3 linked regions of the Tribolium castaneum genome follow. The protein of the gene in region 2 purifies or fractionates together with the protein of the main gene of each other region. This does not show direct contact. Links are inferred from orthologs where the notes say so. Each region holds a gene or a part of one and is shown on either strand. Other genes may lie near its edges.

Region 1 (2,729 bases), on a different chromosome or scaffold from region 2:
ATTAACAGTTTGTTTGAGTAAAAGTGTAAATTTACTAGGAGTGACGATTGAGTGACGAGCTGCAGACGAGTGTTGTAACTCTTCAGTTATAACGTTTGAATTTTTTTTTCAGAGATGGTCGACGCCATGAAGAAGGTGGCCAAGCTGGACTTGGAGTTGACCGTCGAAGAGCGCAATCTTCTGTCGGTGGCTTACAAGAACGTGATCGGTGCCCGACGAGCGTCCTGGCGTATAATATCGTCAATTGAACAGAAGGAAGAAAGCAAAGGCACCGACGACAAATTGGAAATGATAAGACAGTACAGGTCACAAGTCGAGAAAGAATTGAGAGACATCTGTTCGGATATTTTGAACGTATTGGATAAACATCTGATACCGGCGGCGTCAACCGGCGAATCGAAAGTCTTCTATTATAAAATGAAGGTAAATTTATTTGTACCAATAGACGATGTGACAATATAATGGTGGGCTTGTTGTTGGAGTAATTTCCATTCGATTTCCTTCAATCGAGCGACCTTCCATGCATAATCGGGACAATTTGTGTCGTTTTATAACTTGTTATATCGATTTTTTTTCACTTATTAATGAATCATTAGCAGCGGGTGACGCTACTTCAATTGATTAGTTTTTATTGAAAAGTTATAAACATAAATCTAGCGCGATAATGGCGAACTTTGCTTGGTGCACACTTCATTCCTCCGCATTTCGAATTAATTATTTGATCAATAAATCAGTGACAGGTTGGGGCGATCTATCATATTGATTGATTCTGTAGGTTGGAGTGAAATATTTCACAAGTTGTTTTTTGCAGGGTGATTACCATCGATATTTGGCCGAGTTCGCAACAGGCAACGATCGCAAAGACGCCGCCGAGCATTCGTTGGTCGCTTACAAGTCAGCGAGCGACATCGCAATGACGGAACTCCCGCCCACGCACCCGATTCGGCTCGGTCTGGCGCTAAATTTCTCGGTATTTTACTACGAGATATTAAATAGCCCCGATAGGGCCTGTCGTCTGGCGAAGGCGGCCTTCGACGACGCCATCGCCGAGTTGGACACGTTATCCGAAGAGAGCTACAAAGACAGCACGCTGATCATGCAATTGTTGCGCGACAACCTGACGCTGTGGACCAGTGATATGCAAGGAGACGGTTAGTATCAAAAATCAGTCAGCAGCTCGGTAATAATCTGTCTGCAGGCGAGGCGGAGCCCAAAGAGCAGCTGCAGGACGTAGAGGACCAGGACGTGTCGTAACTGTTTAGCTGATCTCCAGCGACTACGAACTAACCAGTGCTGTGTAGTGCGGGCCAGGCCCAGACATTCGAACCGGAGGCGGTAACCGTCTCGATCCCAGTACATACTGTATTATTATAATTATCTTAGCCGTAACTCTATATTGTATCTGTTTGTCTCAAAATGTGTGAATGAGAGAGCCTCTCTACGAGCGACTGTTCTCTGATTTCTCTCCTCTCTCCTTGCCCTGTCTCCTCGGCCATTGTCCCGGCGCACGCAATGTTAATCTTTTTCTATTAAACATCAAAAATAAACAAATTAAACGTACTCTCGGTCTAGCAGCTTGGCCTCCCCCTTTATACTCCCTCCCAGTGAGAGTGGCGTGTGGTGCGAATGAGGCGAGTGTCTTGTTTATTTTCCCGCTTTATTTATATTGAGTTTGAACGAAAAAGGCAGCCTTTCGAGGGAATTGTAGTATTAGGTGATTGATTTTTGGCAATAGAGCAGTATTTTTGTGGCGAGCAAAAACACGCATATTTCCGTACAAATGGCATTCCGCTATTTTCGAGTACTTACAGTAGATTTTATGTGATGGTGATTGCATGTCGAGCAATAAGTTTTTTCTATTTTGTAAATCTATTTTTTTACATCACTGTTTTATCGGAAAACTGGTGAAATTTCAGTTTTTCGCGGTACTTAATGTCACCACTGCCAGTGAATCTCAACGGAGCGAAACATTACTAAGGGTTGGTGCAGGATTTTACCAGTTTTTTTGTTTATGACAATTATTTGGCTGTTGTGATTTTTTAACTGCATTTTTAACGTGCGTATGAATGTGAAGAAAAAAAACAATGCTGTGTAGATTGATTTAAAGAAATTGATGTATTATTATAAAATTATTTAAAAACAGACGCAATCTTTGTTGTTACACAACCTACAATAATCTTCCTTTACACTCCAACGAGCCGCAGTGACAGTACAAGACCCGTCCTGGAACACTCCCTATGTCGTAGTTGTAGTTCCATGTTAGTTCAGTGCCGGCCCTGATAAACTGCGAACAGAAGAAGGCGACCCACGGGAACCTCAGATCGTGAGTATCCACGAACACGTTCTGGACGAAGACATTGGGCGAACACGAGTGCTGAAATTGAACGAACGTGAGTCACATTTTTCTCCTACTACTACCACCCTACATTTAAAAACCGGCCAATATTTCCCGCATTTTTCGTATCCATGATGTAGGGCTCCTCCTCCCCAAAGAAACTGCGCACTGACACTTGACTCGGCTTGTTATCGTCCAGGTCTGACCCCGACTTTGGATTAAAACTCAAAACTTCCTTTGGATCTAGTGAGGGAAAAACGTAATCACATACTCGGCTCCGCCTCGCACTTACCGTCCTCATCGTCTGAAATCGTGACGGTTTCGATCTCAGTGGTAACACTCTCGAGTGGAATTTTCTCTTCTTTTTTGAAGAATTTCTCCTCGACTTTCGGCT
Region 2 (2,281 bases):
GGGGCATTCAAGGGCACCACAATTCCTGCTACCTCGACGTCACCCTTTTCTCAATGTTTACCTACACAGCAGTATTTGACAGTTTGTTGTTTCGGCCCAAAGGTCCGAAAGATATCCCCGATTATAACGAGGTTGATTTTTCGTATTTTTCGAAAACAAATTAAATTGTGTTTTAGGTCCAACGAGTATTACGTGAAGAAATCGTAAATCCGCTCCGAAAAAATTTGTTTGTTCGTGCCGATCGCGTGATGAATTTGAGACGTTTATTAGATCGATTAAGTTCGGTGTCCGGTTTAACGAGCGAAGAGAAGGATCCTGAGGAGTTTCTCAATTCGCTTTTGGCGCAGATACTTAAAGCCGAGCCGTTTTTGAAGCTTAACTCGGGTCAGGAGTCGTTTTATTATCAGTTGTTTGTGGAGAAAGACGCCGATTTAACGTTACCCACAGTACAACAATTATTCGAACAAAGCTTTCTCACGAGTAACATTAAATTGAAAGAAGTTCCCTCTTGTCTCATCATACAGATGCCGAGGTTCGGGAAGAACTACAAAATGTATCCGAGAATTCTACCGTCACAGCTTCTAGACGTGACTGACGTTATTGAAGGATGTAAGCGGAAAAACTCTCGTCACTCGTGAAATAATAATTGTTTTTTAGCTCCTCGTCAGTGTATCGTTTGTGGCAAACTCGCCCATTGGGAGTGTCGTGAGTGCTTTGATGATTGTAGCAACGCCGGGCTGGAAAGTACGGCTTTCTGCTCTATGTGTCTCGAAAAAGCCCACAGACACGAACGGAGGTCACACCACCGCCCCGCTGTGAAACTAGATGTCTGTGATGATTTCTCGATCCTTGAAGATCACTGTCGTCCTCCTCGACTTTTCATGGAACTATTTGCTGTGATTTGTATTGAAACTTCCCATTATGTAGCTTTCGTCAAGTGCGGAGTTGGCCACGAGGCGCCGTGGTGTTTTTTCGATTCGATGGCGGATCGTAAAGGTGTGACACCATCTCGCGGCCAAGATATAAAAATTCACGAGTATTTTTCAGGCGAGAAAAATGGGTACAATATCCCGGAGATGGTCGCATGTCCGGATATTTCACGATGGTTGTCGGACGAACGGATCTGCCGCCAGTTACACGAGGACTTCCCCCAAGACCGTCACCTACCCGAACACGCGCGCAGGTTGTTATGTGATGCTTATATTTGCATGTACCAAAGTTCTGACGTCATGATGTACAGATAGATTTTTTCTTTACGACTGATATTTTTAGAATATTTATTTCTGTTTAATGTTGTATAAAGTATAGAAATTTTGATTTAATTTGTTACGAAAACACTTAACCTGATTTAAGAATTAAAATATAATGCTTGTTATATTCAGTATTGTTGTTAACTATATCACTTTGTTATTCTTCCCGGAACTGTAGGAACTATCATGACAATGTGCCTTGCCTGCTGATCTAACAATCTTCTATTTCAAGTATACGTTTGAATCGTATGTCGGCTTCATTTTTCACAAATACAAAGTGATATGGGCATTTATTAAATTTTAAAAGCGATCCCGTTGGATCGGTACGATTTTTCCCTGTCTATAAATTAACTAGAAATCGTACTGGCTCAAATAACCCCACCACATAAATAGTTCACACTTATTAATTTAAAACTATAAAATAGACTTATCGAGTATTTTTTGTAGAAAATTTATTTTTATTGTTAAAGAACGGAAAGAGGGACGAAATAAATTCTAGCAATCAAACAACCACGCATTTTCTTTACCCTTCACTGCCAATCCCAAATATTTAACCCAACCAAAACGAATTAATTTTTTATTAATAAATCAAGATTACATAATTCACAACAACCAGGGAATGTGTCACCTCTCTATGTAAAATACACAATTACAAAAACAATCACTAAAAGCGTAATCACGATTCCCAGTATCAGTATATATTTGTCTTCACCGGCCCTTTTCTCGATTAGTCTCATTGTGTGGTTACTCAGCCCCAGCGTATTAGCCATGTCCATAATGCGACGATGTGCCCCCTTCAAAGTCAGTCTTTGCGACCTAAGCGACTCTAACGCATTAACCCCCGTGTGTAGCATTTCGTCTACACCTCTATGAGAATTCTGTAATGAATTCTGGTGCTGTAACGCATAGTCTATATTGATGGTCGTCAGATCGGGATTAGGGGCAAACCGGCGATTCAACAATTGTTCCCTTTCATTAATCGCAGCCTCTCGTCGTGCCCTTTTCTGTCTAGAGGCCACTAGGGCCGCCTG
Region 3 (4,207 bases), on a different chromosome or scaffold from region 2:
ATTTTTTGGCTGAAATACGTACAAATTAAATGAAAAAAGGTAGAACTGGAAATAACAAATCTGTTTACAAAATAATCATTGCAGGTAAAAAATGTCAAAATCATGTGGGTGCTAATATTCAATAGTAAAAAAAAATATCCAATTTGTTGTGTCATCGATTATTAGGTCGGAAAGGTCGGAAAATGCAACAATAAAACCATCATGCTTGTGACAACAGAACCGGGAAACATTCACACAAAGGGTTGAAAATTTTTTAATTACAACTACGGTCTGCCGCCATCGTCCAGGTGTCCGTTCGCCACGAATGCACTTCCGGACGTGCGATTTCCATGCCATTACATCACAAACTCGATTAATTACACATCCGTCCTTTCAAAAATAAAAACGTGACTAAGAAGATTGTGGCCGAATTTATTTTAGTCCTTCCCCGGCTACTTTACGTAAAAATAATCCATCAAAACAATTACTATTTACCGTTATCAGTCTTGCACTCTTTGAAAATGATCCAACTTCGGTGGCTCTCATGCGTGGTGAAAACGCTGGCTCTCGGACAGTCACACATATCGCACGAAAAAAATCAAGGAAAAATCTCAAACGGTACGAAACATGATGAGATTTCGGACAGGATCGATAGGAACGTGTCGATTGTTTATGTTCGGGGGCCACTCGAAAAACTACGCGAGACTACCAGCCGCTGGAAAGAAACTGGCAACGGCCGCATGGGTGCGACTGAAATAGCGATACGGGGAAGACGCCAGGGACAGAGCAAGGCGCTGCCAGCGACGGACTGCCCAAAACTTTCGTCCCAACGTTTTTTGAAAAATATGGGGCAAAAGTTTGATTTTTTTTAAATATAGTTTACAACAAAAATTTTGCACCATGTCCTACAACCATGAATAAGTGCGCTCTCTGGCGACGAGAACGTTTTATTCGTCCATCGTTTCGCATCCTAACTTTTAGTCGTCCGTAGTCCCAAGCCAAAATTTGGAATTGTTTCTGCGGAAATGGCCTTAGGCAAGGCCTCAAAGCGCGTAAAACCTGCAAATAGCCGCCTTTTCCGCATTTCGGAGGCCGGTGGTGAATTGGGGCCAGGCCGTCCCTGGCAGGCCGATCAAGAAACTTCCAACTAAACAAACTACTCTAAATCGGTCTCGCTGAGTCAGCGCGTCTAAAAACAGATGCCCCTTCGTTTCGCACGTATTTAGGAGGAGGAACCGGAATTTCGGCCAAATCGAGCTTAAAGCGCCGGACCTGCACGACTTTAAGGTCGCAAAGCGATAAAAATACCGCGACGAAGCCGTGCAGACAAGTCGACTCGGCTTTGATCTTATTTTTATTGGTCCGTGTGTGACTAACACTGCGACAAATAAAAATTATAGCCCCTCGAGTGTTTTCAAGAATTGCAAGTTGTTGAGTCATGCACTAAGCCAATGCTCTCGGCTAAATTTACAACGAGCCCACAAGAACAACACAACCTACCGTTTTTTGGTACCATCTTATCAAGGCCGGGCATGGTTCTCAGCTGCATGTCGAGATCGTGTAAATCCCATGCGTCCTGCAACAAACGACTCAATTAATCAATTTTACTCATTTTCTATTAAAAGACAATTACGTCATGCGACGTAAAAACCGACTTACAGGGCTTATTTTAATGTTGAGGGGCCGCGACATCTCGGCACTCGGCTGGGGCAGCGATTTGACACAATTATCGCCGTTGGTGCTGGCGGGGAACTGGTCTATTTCCTCCACACAGTCCTCAAACTCTTCGATTTCCTCCTTGTAAACCACATCGTCACCGCCCCTGATCTGCAACGGCTCGTCGGCGCCCGGAAGCAACGAGCAAATAACTTCCATTTTTTTCACAATCTGGAAGCCAAACTTTGACTTTCCCCACTCAAAAAATAGTGCACTCACCTCCTTCATGCTCGGCCGCTTGGCCGCCTCCTGATCCCAGCACTGTGTCATCAGTTTTTCGATGACTGGGGGGCAGTGCCTGATGAGAGGGGGCCTCCGGCCGCTGTGCTTCGCCCACAAGATCATGAAAGCCGAAGGGTAGCCCGACTCCTTAATGTGGAAAAAAGGCTTAAGTCGCGATAACACCTCCCAGAGGATTATGCCCCAGCTGAAGACGTCGCACTTTTCCGTATAGTTTGACGTTTCAAAGACCTCGGGGGCCATCCACGCGGCCGAGCCTTTGTTGTTGGTCATGATTGCTGTCATGTCTGTGGCAGTACCAAAGTCGCATATCTTTAGCAAGGTGCCCCCGTTTATCAGGAGCAAGTTGGGCGGTTTGAGGTCTCTGTGTATCAAAGGTTTGGGTTTCATGCCATGGAGATACTCGACCCCCTGGAAAACCGAGTTAAGAGTGTGTCGGTGCGGCTTCGCCCCTTACTTTGGCGCACTGGTAGAGCCAGGACATGGCGTTGGCCATCGTGTAGTGTACGTTAGGTGCGTGGTGTAGAATATTGAAGAGGGAGCCCCCTTCGGCGTACTCCATCACAAGGCAGATGTTGGGGCCCTTGGTGCAGGCCCCGTACAGCTTGACAATGTTCTCATGCTTGACCCTTGACAGCTGCCGGACTTCCACAATAAAGGCGTCTTTGTCGTTCTCAGAGACGATGTTTTTGACCGCCACGAACGCATCGCGCCAGATTCCCTTGTAAACGACTCCAAAGCTGCCCTCACCGACTGCCTGAAACCACAATGTGTCGGTGGCCACAACCAGGGCTACTTTACCTCAAGCTTCTGAATTTCATTGTAGTTGATTTCCTCGACGGTGTACTGACATACGCTACCCTCATTTTCCGAAGACGCCATCGAAATACCGAAGTAATCACATATTTGGCCACAGAGCGTCCAGACAGCCCCAAAATTACGAAAAATCTCGATAAATATCAACCACCATAAATTTGGTTATGTATCCTTCAGATCAAGTGTCACCTTCGGCTCGAAAATCCCCAGCCGTGTTCAAAACTCGGCGCGAGTGTCAATCATGTCGAGCGAACGGGATTTACACAAACGGGGGCACCAGGGCTTCAAGAAGCGAGTCGAGAGTGACGTGATGAGCAGTGTGGGCAAGAAAGTCCTAGAGAAGAAATTCTTCGTTGCCGTTTACTCCCGGAACATTCCTGAGATAACAAAGTGTTTGAGTAAAGGAGTAAACCCGAACATTCGCTCCACGGAGTACGGTGTCACCCCTTTGCATTTACTCGCCGAACGGAACGACTACATCCTGGGGTACCGCCTTTTGGAGTATAAAAAATTTGACGTGGATGTGCGGAACGCCCACGGTTACACTGCCCTGCATGTTACCTGCTTATGCGACTGCAAAAAATTTGCCCTTCTTTTGCTGGAACACGGAGCCGACCCCAATATTTACGGCCGGTTTAATAAAACAGCCCTGCATTTATCCGTACAGAATGAGAATTACGGTATTACGATAAAGTTGCTAAAATTCGGGGCTGAGGTCAATGTTGTTGACTGCTTTGGCAATACGCCCCTCTCTTTGAGCATCCTAGACACCAATAATTACCTAATTGCCAAAACCTTGTTCCAAAGTGGGGCCAATATGAGCGTCGAGCACCAAAGACCACTCCATATTTTTTTTGGTACTTGATCATCCAAACGAAAAAAGTATTATTAAAATTTGCAGAAATGGTGTTGTATTGCCGCTGCATTCGTCAGATTGATTTGGTGCTGCTCTTGTTGGAGAACGGGGTTAATATTAATATGAGGGAGCCCGACTCAGGGCGCAATTGTCTCCACTTTGTTGCGGTGACCGGTTTTCTGGAACTGGCGGTGGTTTTGGTCGAAAAGGGGGCTAAAATCCACGTTGTGGATAGCTGTAAGCGCAGCCCCATTAAAGTGGCTGTGGACCACGGTAACGAAGTGATCGCCGATTACTTCCGCAAGGGCTACAGACCCCCGCCTTTGCTCACCGCCCTCCCGAAGATCTTCCAGTGGTCTAGCAAGGTCCGGGCGCGAATCAGCGAGCGGAAGCTGGCGGAGATGGAGAAAGAGGCCGAATTGAAACAAAAATAAACAGATCATTATGCACAATTTATTAATATTACGGAATACAACATTCAATAAATATATTGTAAATATTATACTGACTGACTTTTTGAGAGTTAAAACATATAAACATCAATAAACTAGTAACACAGATAGACTTTAAACGATTCAAAAACGCGATATGAGCTCGGGT

Evidence for each region.
Region 1: the proteins of CYLD (region 2) and 14-3-3epsilon purify together in Homo sapiens (affinity purification with mass spectrometry; 3 studies listed by BioGRID and IntAct, with this or other methods). This does not show direct contact. The link is inferred for Tribolium castaneum from reciprocal best matches to the Homo sapiens genes CYLD and YWHAE.
Region 3: the proteins of CYLD (region 2) and mitogen-activated protein kinase kinase kinase 7 purify together in Homo sapiens (affinity purification with western blotting; 4 studies listed by BioGRID, with this or other methods). This does not show direct contact. The link is inferred for Tribolium castaneum from reciprocal best matches to the Homo sapiens genes CYLD and MAP3K7.

Annotation. Positions count from the first base shown.
Region 1 is NC_087401.1:11,223,787-11,226,515, reverse strand, and holds the end of 14-3-3epsilon (14-3-3 protein epsilon), read left to right. Parts: intron 1-112; coding exon 113-423; intron 424-811; coding exon 812-1,151; intron 1,152-1,198; coding exon 1,199-1,254; 3' UTR 1,255-2,144; downstream 2,145-2,729. Other genes in the region: histone-lysine N-methyltransferase eggless, read right to left, coding at 2,168-2,374, 2,427-2,578, 2,628-2,729. UniProt on the Homo sapiens protein: Adapter protein implicated in the regulation of a large spectrum of both general and specialized signaling pathways. Binds to a large number of partners, usually by recognition of a phosphoserine or phosphothreonine motif.
Region 2 is NC_087398.1:4,982,840-4,985,120, reverse strand, and holds the end of CYLD (ubiquitin carboxyl-terminal hydrolase CYLD), read left to right. Parts: coding exon 1-131; intron 132-176; coding exon 177-609; intron 610-657; coding exon 658-996; intron 997-1,047; coding exon 1,048-1,244; 3' UTR 1,245-1,760; downstream 1,761-2,281. Other genes in the region: Membrin (probable Golgi SNAP receptor complex member 2), read right to left, coding at 1,883-2,281. UniProt on the Homo sapiens protein: Deubiquitinase that specifically cleaves 'Lys-63'- and linear 'Met-1'-linked polyubiquitin chains and is involved in NF-kappa-B activation and TNF-alpha-induced necroptosis.
Region 3 is NC_087399.1:3,650,977-3,655,183, reverse strand, and holds the start of mitogen-activated protein kinase kinase kinase 7, read right to left. Parts: upstream 2,951-4,207; 5' UTR 2,818-2,950; coding exon 2,737-2,817; intron 2,693-2,736; coding exon 2,393-2,692; intron 2,347-2,392; coding exon 1,915-2,346; intron 1,867-1,914; coding exon 1,639-1,866; intron 1,556-1,638; coding exon 1,480-1,555; intron 1-1,479. Other genes in the region: putative ankyrin repeat protein RF_0381, read left to right, coding at 2,993-3,608, 3,653-4,041. UniProt on the Homo sapiens protein: Serine/threonine kinase which acts as an essential component of the MAP kinase signal transduction pathway. Plays an important role in the cascades of cellular responses evoked by changes in the environment.